Linked DNA regions of Sus scrofa. The protein of the gene in region 1 interacts with the protein of each later gene in a pairwise test. Links are inferred from orthologs where the notes say so. Each region holds a gene or a part of one and is shown in the gene's direction. Other genes may lie near its edges. The genes, in order: EML1 and ISG20L2.

Region 1 (3,809 bases):
ATTGCTGTGGCTGTGGCGTAGGCTGGTGGCTACAGCTCTGATTTGACCCCTAGCCTGGGAACCTTCATATGCCATGGGAGCGGCCCAAGAAATTGCAGAAAAAAGAAAAAAGAAAGAAAATATAAAAAAATAAAATTAAATTAAAATATATGTGAATGTTTTTTAAACATTCTGCAGAAGCAGGAAAAGCCGAAGTTTGTCCTCTGTGTGACTTTTTCTGAAAATGGTGACGCCATCACCGGAGATTCAAGTGGCAACATCCTGGTCTGGGGAAAAGGTAAGCAGTGCCTGCTCCCGGAGCAGACGGTTTTGGGTGACGTTTTAAGTAAGAAGCCAAGCGTGGCCTCCATAGAAATTGTCAGTTAACTTGCAGAGTTACTATCTGATTCCAAGCTAACACTGGTGCGTACGAGCAGGAGACTGGAACAGAGGCGAACAAGACTAGAAAGCTGCTGACTTCCGTCACTCTGAAAGGCTCTTCATAAGTCAGAAAGAGAAGGACAAATACCCTCTGATATCACTTATATGTGGACTCTAAAATATGACACAAATCTGTGAAACCAAAAGACTCACATAGACAACAGATGTGTGGTTCCCACAGGTGGGGAGGGGAGGATGGGGCTTGGGGTCAGCAGATATAAGCTATTATATATAGAATGGAAGGCCAGTGAGGTCCTACTATATAGCACAGGGAATTATATTCAGTATCCTGTGATAAACCATAATAGAGAAGAATTTGTTCTGTCCATGCCTGCAGCATGCAGAAGTTCCCCAGCCAGGGATCCACCCTGCACCACAGCAGTAACCAGGGCCACAACAGTGACAATGCCAGGTCCTTAACCCATTGAGCCACCAGGAAGCTCTGAAAAGAATATATTTTTTAAAATATGTACATTGGAGTTCCTCTCATGGCTCAGCAGTTAACGAAACCAACTAGCATCCTTGAGGATGCAGGTTCGATTTCTGACCTCACTCAGTGGGTTAAGGATCTGGCATTGCTGTGAGCTGGGGTGTAGGTCACAGACGCAGCTTGGATCTGGCATTGCTGTGGCTCTGGTGTAGGCCGGCAGCTGCAGCTCCGATTTGACCCCTAGCCTGGGAACCTGCATATTGTTGTGGGTATGGCCCTAAAAAACAAAAATAAAAATAAAAAATTAAAATTAAAATATGTATATTGGAGTGCCTGTTGTGGCTCATCAGGCTAAGAACCTGTTGTAGTCTCTGTGAGGATGCGGGTTGGATCCCTGACTTCCATCAGTGGGTTAAGGGTCCAGCATTGCCACAAGCTGCAGCGTAGGTCGCAGATGTGGCTCAGATCCAGCGTGGCCGTGGCCGTGGCATAGGCCTGCAACTGCAGCTCCAATTCCACCCCTAGCCCAGGAACTTCCATATGCTACAGGTGTGGACATAAAAAGAAAAAAAATTTTTTAATTTTACATAAAAAAGAATACATATATGTATGTATAACTGAATCACTTTGCTGTACAGCAGAAATTAACACAATATTGTAAATCAACTCAACCTCAGTAGAAAGTGAAATAAAAGGTTCAAGTCCAAGGCAGTCTAATGGGATTAACAGCTTTGTTAGGAGATCTGACAACAGTGGTGACAAAGTCATCCATGACCGTTTAGCTCTACAGTAAACTTTTCGGGTTCACAAAGCGCTTGGCCAAGGTCGACTGAGTACCGCTGCGTGGGGGCCGCGTGCCAGACGCCGGGCGTGCGGGTGCTCAGGTGGGAGTCCCCGCTGTCAGGGGGCGGACCGTGTGGTGAGGCCCATGACTCGGAAACATTCCCTCTGCCAAGTTCAGTGAGCACGCGTGCGCGCTCACCACGTGCCAGGAAGCCAAGGGGAGATGCCCCATCCCGGGCCTCAGGGGTCTCAGAGCTTGGGGTGGTTGGGGGCGAAGGTGGGAAGAGAACCCGTCAAGGTCACTTCGGACGAATTCAGTGGCTTCGGCATGTCCCCTGCTCCTCTGGGTGCCAGGGGCTCGACACACCGCTTCATTTCACCCCGAGAACAACCCAGTGGGATAAGCAGCAGCCCCGTGGCCAGAAACCGAGACAGAGCAGTTGCGTCACCTGTGCAGAGACACACAGCTCCCCTCTCAGCCGCACGTGGTCTGACTCTGCGCTATGCTTCGCGTCAGTGTGTTTCCTAATTAATGTTTAAAAGGCATGCTATTGCAGTGCAGTGGCTTCACAGTGTTGGGTTCATTTCTGCCCAGCAGCGGAGTGACTCGGCTACACACACATCTGTCCCTTTCTCGTATTCTTCTCCCTGATGGTCTGTCACAGGGTGTTGACTGGAGTCGCCCGTGCCCTGCAGAAGGACCCGTGGTTAATCCGTGCCCACACAGAATAGCCTGCCCCCGCTACTCCCAACCTCCCGGTCCATCCCGTCCCCTGCTTCCCTTAATTATAAAGTCACCCACGTCCTGCTTGTCTGGTGCTCTGGCAACGTCTAGAAAGCGGATCCTTAGGCGATTCGCACCAGAATGGTGTTCCGACAATATCACGTTTTCAAACAGAAAGGACCCCTTGCTGTACAGTGGGAAAATTAAAAAATAAAATAAAACAGAAAGGAAGCGAGTCGGGCAGAGGTGAGCCTTTTGACAAAGTGCTAAGCGTGTTTTCTTGCTGTGTTTAGGTACGAACCGAATAAGCTATGCAGTTCAAGGGGCCCACGAGGGTGGTATTTTTGCACTTTGTATGTTAAGGGACGGCACGCTGGTGTCGGGAGGCGGGAAGGACCGCAAACTCATTTCTTGGAATGGAAACTACCAGAAACTCCATAAAACCGAGGTAAGACAGCCAGTCATGTTATGGACGTTCGTTTTGAACCTTCAGTGGTTAGGCTGAGCCGTTTCCTTGTAGGCTCAAAATCTCTAGCTTACTGTTTTGCAAATTGCTTCGATAAACTGTTACTAAGGGGGGTAATATTTTGTAAAAACCATGGAAGCAGGTTAACGACCAAAATAGAATTAGGCTTATAAAATTTGAGGTTGTAACATTTCACATCTAGGATGTTATTATTATTACTATTATCATTATTTGGCTTTTTTAGGGCCACATCCACGGCACATGGAGGTTCCCAGGCTAGGGGTCGAATCGGAGCTGTAGCTGCCAGCCTACACCACAGCCACAGCCACAGCCACGCCAGATCCCAGCCACGTCTGTGACCTACACCCCAGCTCACAGCAGCACCCGATCCTTAACCCACTAAGCGAGGCCAGAGATCGAACCTGCAACCTCATGGTTCCTAGTCGGATTCGTTTGTACTGCGCCACAATAGGAACTCCATTGTGTAGCAGTTTTTACAAGATTTGACCAGCATTTGATTGAACCCTTGTTAAATTATAACCGTCACAGATACTCCGAAGCCTCTGGTTTTATGGAAGATATTCACCCCTTTGAAGTATCTACAGTTCCTCTTCATCAGCCTGGATTGTTATCAGCTTTTCTCAAATCTGTGCTAAGAAACCACGCTGGCAGTATAAACAGTTTGTACGTGAACAGGCTGCTTCCTGCCACCCCAGAACCTCGGTGCCTGGAGTCACCCCCAGAGTCTCGCTGCAATGTTTCTTCTTTATATAAAGTGCGAGGACCTCTGTTTATTTTATGATAGCAAATTGTTCTTGGCTGGTGTATTGTACAGTTATTTTTATTAACATTTAGATAATCCCATATGTTTACCAACATGAGCAGCGGGTTTCAAAACTAAAGTTACAGTTACAATACATTTTTAGGAAATCTTACTATGGCATATTTTATATATATGCATATATAAATATATATTGTATATATGT
Region 2 (4,541 bases), on another chromosome or scaffold:
AAAAAGACAAAAAGAGCAAAAGAAAAAGAAAAAGAAAGTGCAAAGGCCCAGATCAGGCCAGTGCAGGTGTAGTATCGTGAATGTGAAGGGGTCTAAAAAGGAACACAGATTATGCAGAACTTTATAGATAATGGTAAAGAATTAGAATTTCATCAAAGTACCTAAGAAACAAATAAGTGTCATCATCAGATTCACATTTTCAAAAGATCAATCTGTTTTATGAAGAATTGTTTATGGAGGAGAGGAAGCAAACACAGAGCTCAGTTAGGAAGTAGTCCAGGAGAGAGACAATGTTAGCTTGGCCTAGAGTGGTAGCAATGGCGATGGAGACAAATGGGTGAATTTGGTATCTATTCTGGAGGTTGAACCAAATAGGACTTGTTGAAGGACTGGATTGTAGATCAGTGAAGAAAAGAGCTAAATTGAGGATGGTTTCTGGGTTTGGGAGCTGAACAATTCGGAGGATGCTGGTGCCATTTATACATCATCTCATTTATTTTTCACAATCATCCTTCAAAAAGGGATCCATTTTACAGCTGAGAAACTGGGGCTAGGAGGAATTGTTTTAATGCCTAAGGTTAACACAGTAAGCGAGGCAGGATTCTAGTCCAAGTCTCTCATATTCCAAAGCTGGAATTGTCCATTACACTGCAAAACCAGGAATTTATTCAAGGCTTGAATGAATGAACATGTGTGTTCTTGGAACACCTCACACGTTCCTGGGAAAGTTCGACGCAGCTGCAGCAGCATGGCTCAAATATCCATGCATTTTACTACTTTGGATTTCAGAAGCTTAGAAAGACAACCCAGATGCTAACATATTAACATTTAGGTCAGAAGAAAAAAAGGAAGAGCAGCCTCAAACTTTTCTTGTACAGACAAAAGCCTGAAGAAACTCATATTAGAAGAGACCAGACGCTAACTCTCCAGATCCTCTCCTGTCGTGAGCACCTATCCACCACACAACCAGGAGGAGCACCCCACCCACACCCCTGTGGCCTCACAATGATGTAGGCGTCCAGGATGGAACGGTAGAGCGTCACGACCCGGGTGAGGTTCACAGCTAGTTGCCTCCTCTCCTCGTAAGAGAGGCCCCGGGCGGAAACCCCCGGCATTCCGGGGCCCAGCCGGTGGCGCGAGGAGCGACAATGCAGTGAGGAGGGAACAGGGTCAGGACTACACGGGTCCAGGACCCAGGCTGGATTCAGTTCTGCACTCGGAGCAGGAAGAAAGCGCTCAGAATCCAGCCCCCGATGCTGCCTTTCCGGGACTTCAGCCTGGGTGAAGACTTGAGGCGCCCTCCAGACGTCACAGGTCGCGACGTCCCATAGCGCGAAGGTGTCAGCGTCGGAGACACACCGGGCGGGGGGGGGGGGTTGCCAGCGCAGTGACGTCACAGAGGCGTCCCCCGGCGCCCCGCTCACGGAGAGGGGTGGGCCAAGCTCAGGTCCCGCCCCTTCCCGTACAACCCCCCCTCCCGGAAGTGAGGCCGGGGTCTCCCGCGCGCTGCAGTTCTCGTTTGTCGCGGCCTCCCTGAACCTTCGAGTTGTACCTCCACGGGGCTAGAGGGGCTGGGGAGCGCATCCCGCCCCCGCCCCCACCCACGCCGCCTCCCCCACCGCCGCCGCTGCCGCTCCCCACACACTCGGAATCCCTGGCCTCGCTCCCGGAGGCGGGGGCGCTGTGGGCTCGCGCGCGCAGGCCCCCGGCGCGTTCCAATCCGCGCGCCTGCCGGGCCGGGCCTCGTCGGCGCGTGCCAATTTCCGTATCCGGCTCCTGGCGCTTCCGGTCCTAGCTGGGCACATCTAGGAGGTAGGTGCGCGAGCGTGTGGGGACGGCCGAAGTGGTGCGGACGGCCGAAGTGTGCCGTCCCCCGCGTCGGTTTCTTCTCTGTTGATATGTGGTGTCAAAGGTCCTTTCTTGGGAGAAGGACTTGGGTGAGATGCATGTGGCGATTTCCCCCACCTGGAGATCAGGGACAGGGGTTCCTGGAACCCGCGCTGGGGATGCCTGGGTAAGCCAGAGGTCGTCTGTGGCATACCCCACACTGCCTTCGAGCATACTTAGACGTTCTCTCCCTGGACAGATGAGATAGCTCACCTATTCGGGCGTTCTAGATCACAGAGTTTCAGCTGGTTGGCCCTGCAACCCCCTCAGTTTGCGGTTGAGACAGATATTGAGAAGGGAAATGGCCTTCCTGTACAGCTGCTGAATTGTGGGGCTGTCCTAGAACCCAGGCTTCCTGGCTGAGAAGAAGTGCTCCTTCCATCATTTCACATTATCTGAGAGGTTACTCTGATGTCTTTCTCTCTCTTAAGTCCTAGGGAGATGGGTCTTATCTTACGGGTTCCCAAGCCTATGGGTTCCCATTATCAGTATCACCTTCTTCCCCAGGGTATACTGCAGACCTCCAGATGTTGGTCTGTGGGATTCGGCAGAGGATGAGTTTTCTATCCTCCTCTCAACTGTAAGCTACTCTTCCCAACTGTTCTCCCGCTGTCCACTGTCATCATGTCTACCTTACTCCTCAATCTGGATTTTGGTGAACCTCCCCCAAAAAAGGCATTAGAGGGGAATGCCAAGCACCGAAAATTTGTCAAGAAGCGCCGGCTCTTGGAACGGAAGGGCTTTTTGAATAAGAAACAGCAGCCCCCTAGCAAGGTGGCTAAGTTGCAATCAGAATCGTCAAAGAAAGGGAAATCTCCCAAGGTAGATGGCGCTTGGAAGGCCCCTCTTCTTTCAAAAAAGAAGACAGCTGCCTCCAGCGGTGGGTCAGGGCAGTCTCTGGACAAGCCATCTGCAGTGCCTTGGCTGACCCCTGCCCCTTCACAGAAGGCTGGTTCTGTTGTGGCCAAAGTAGACTTACTGGGGGAGTTCCAGAGTGCCCTACCAAAGATTAAGAGCCACCCAACTCGCCCCCGGAAGAAGGGCTCCCAGAAGAATGCCCCACAGAATTCCACCCAAGCTCATTCCGAGAAGAAATATTCTGGAGCATCCCAGAAGGGTCCGAGCAAGATGGTGGCAATTGACTGTGAGATGGTGGGCACAGGACCCAAAGGGCATGTCAGTTCCTTGGCTCGGTGTAGTATTGTCAACTACAATGGAGATGTGCTTTATGACGAGTACATCCTTCCCCCCTGCCACATTGTGGACTACCGGACCAGGTGGAGTGGTATTCGGAAGCAGCATATGGTGAATGCCACACCCTTCAAGATTGCTCGAAGCCAGGTGAGAGGCTGGGGGGACAGGTGGTCGTGGAGAAGTGGGTGGGAGAAGTCCAAATCATTTCTCCCCAAAAGATAGCACCCTGGAAAGGCAGTTGTGGAGGGAGGTATGGAGTGGGTGGAATAGCAGATGATGAAGAAGACTTTTCTTTGGGGAAAAGGAGTGGGGAGGGTCTGGAAAGTTACAACTAGTTGGTATAACTTTATTTATTTATTTTGTCTTTTTATCTTTTCTAGGGCCGCACCTTCGGCATATGGAGGTTCCCAGGCTAGGGGTCCAATCGGAGCTGTAGCCGCCAGCCTACACCACAGCCACAGCCACGCCAGATCCGAGCTGAATCTGCGACCTACATCACAGCTCACAGCAATGCTGGATCCTTAATCCACTGAGTGAGGCCAGGGATTGAAGCCGCAACGTCATGGTTCCTAGCTGGATTCATTAACCACTGAGCCACGACGGGAACTCCACAAACTTTATTAGTTAAGATCTACTTTAGGTCCCAAGTGGAATCCTATACTGGAGGAGTGGGAGTCTACTAGAGAAATAACAGCCATGATGGACAGAGCAGCAGGCATGCATGCCAGGGGGAAAGGGCTTAAGCCATTCTATGCCTTGTAGAGGTTGAGTCTAGGGTTGAGAACAGAGAAGTGGTGAGGGCTTCCCACACAAGACATAGTCTGTGGCAGTGTGGAAAGTTGGTGGTCGGAGAGGGCAGAATGTTGACAGGAGGAGCTGGGGTATGTGTATATACCTGGAACAGGGAGCCTGCAGTGAAGGGGATAAAAGACACAGGACGGGTATGTCGGGGTTCTTCTCTCACTCATTGAGCAAACCTTACTCTAAGCCCTTATGGTGAATATTGGAGGCACAGGCAAATGAATAGGAAAGGAGGGGGAGCTGGTAGAGTTGAAAGGGAAGGAAGAGTGGGCGCACTGGCCTTGGAAGACCTCCAGAGGGCGCCCTTGGCTTTGTAATTTCAGCTCCACATTCTTTGCCTTTCCTGGACACACACTGTTCCAGTAATTCTTTACACGCCAGAGCAGTCAGTTGGAGGAATTTCATCAGAGGTGGAACAATTGGATTTTAGAAAGAACTCGAAGAGTTGAAGGATGTCCTATGCACCAGGGGCACAGCTGAGCACAGGCCTGGGAGAGGCAGGAGGTGGGATGGGTCTGAAACAGCAAATCCACTCCACTTGAACGAGGCCTGTATGTTGAAATTCAAAGGTGTTGGTGGTCAGTAATCTGCCGGTGAAGTCAGGAGCAACTAAATACCAAGTTGATTGGACTATATCTGGTTTTCGTCATAAAAACCAG

What was found.
Region 2: the proteins of EML1 (region 1) and ISG20L2 interact in binary tests that used the Homo sapiens proteins (3 or more experiments, as listed by UniProt). The two-hybrid records come from large-scale screens. The link is inferred for Sus scrofa from reciprocal best matches to the Homo sapiens genes EML1 and ISG20L2.

What each region holds. Positions count from the first base shown.
Region 1 is NC_010449.5:120,866,541-120,870,349, forward strand, and holds part of EML1 (echinoderm microtubule-associated protein-like 1), read left to right. Parts: intron 1-177; coding exon 178-277; intron 278-2,650; coding exon 2,651-2,805; intron 2,806-3,809. UniProt on the Homo sapiens protein: Modulates the assembly and organization of the microtubule cytoskeleton, and probably plays a role in regulating the orientation of the mitotic spindle and the orientation of the plane of cell division.
Region 2 is NC_010446.5:93,364,712-93,369,252, forward strand, and holds the start of ISG20L2 (interferon-stimulated 20 kDa exonuclease-like 2), read left to right. Parts: upstream 1-1,476; 5' UTR 1,477-1,812; exon of another isoform or gene 1,813-2,394; 5' UTR 2,395-2,511; coding exon 2,512-3,228; intron 3,229-4,541. Other genes in the region: protein RRNAD1, read right to left, coding at 1,005-1,115. UniProt on the Homo sapiens protein: 3'-> 5'-exoribonuclease involved in ribosome biogenesis in the processing of the 12S pre-rRNA. Displays a strong specificity for a 3'-end containing a free hydroxyl group.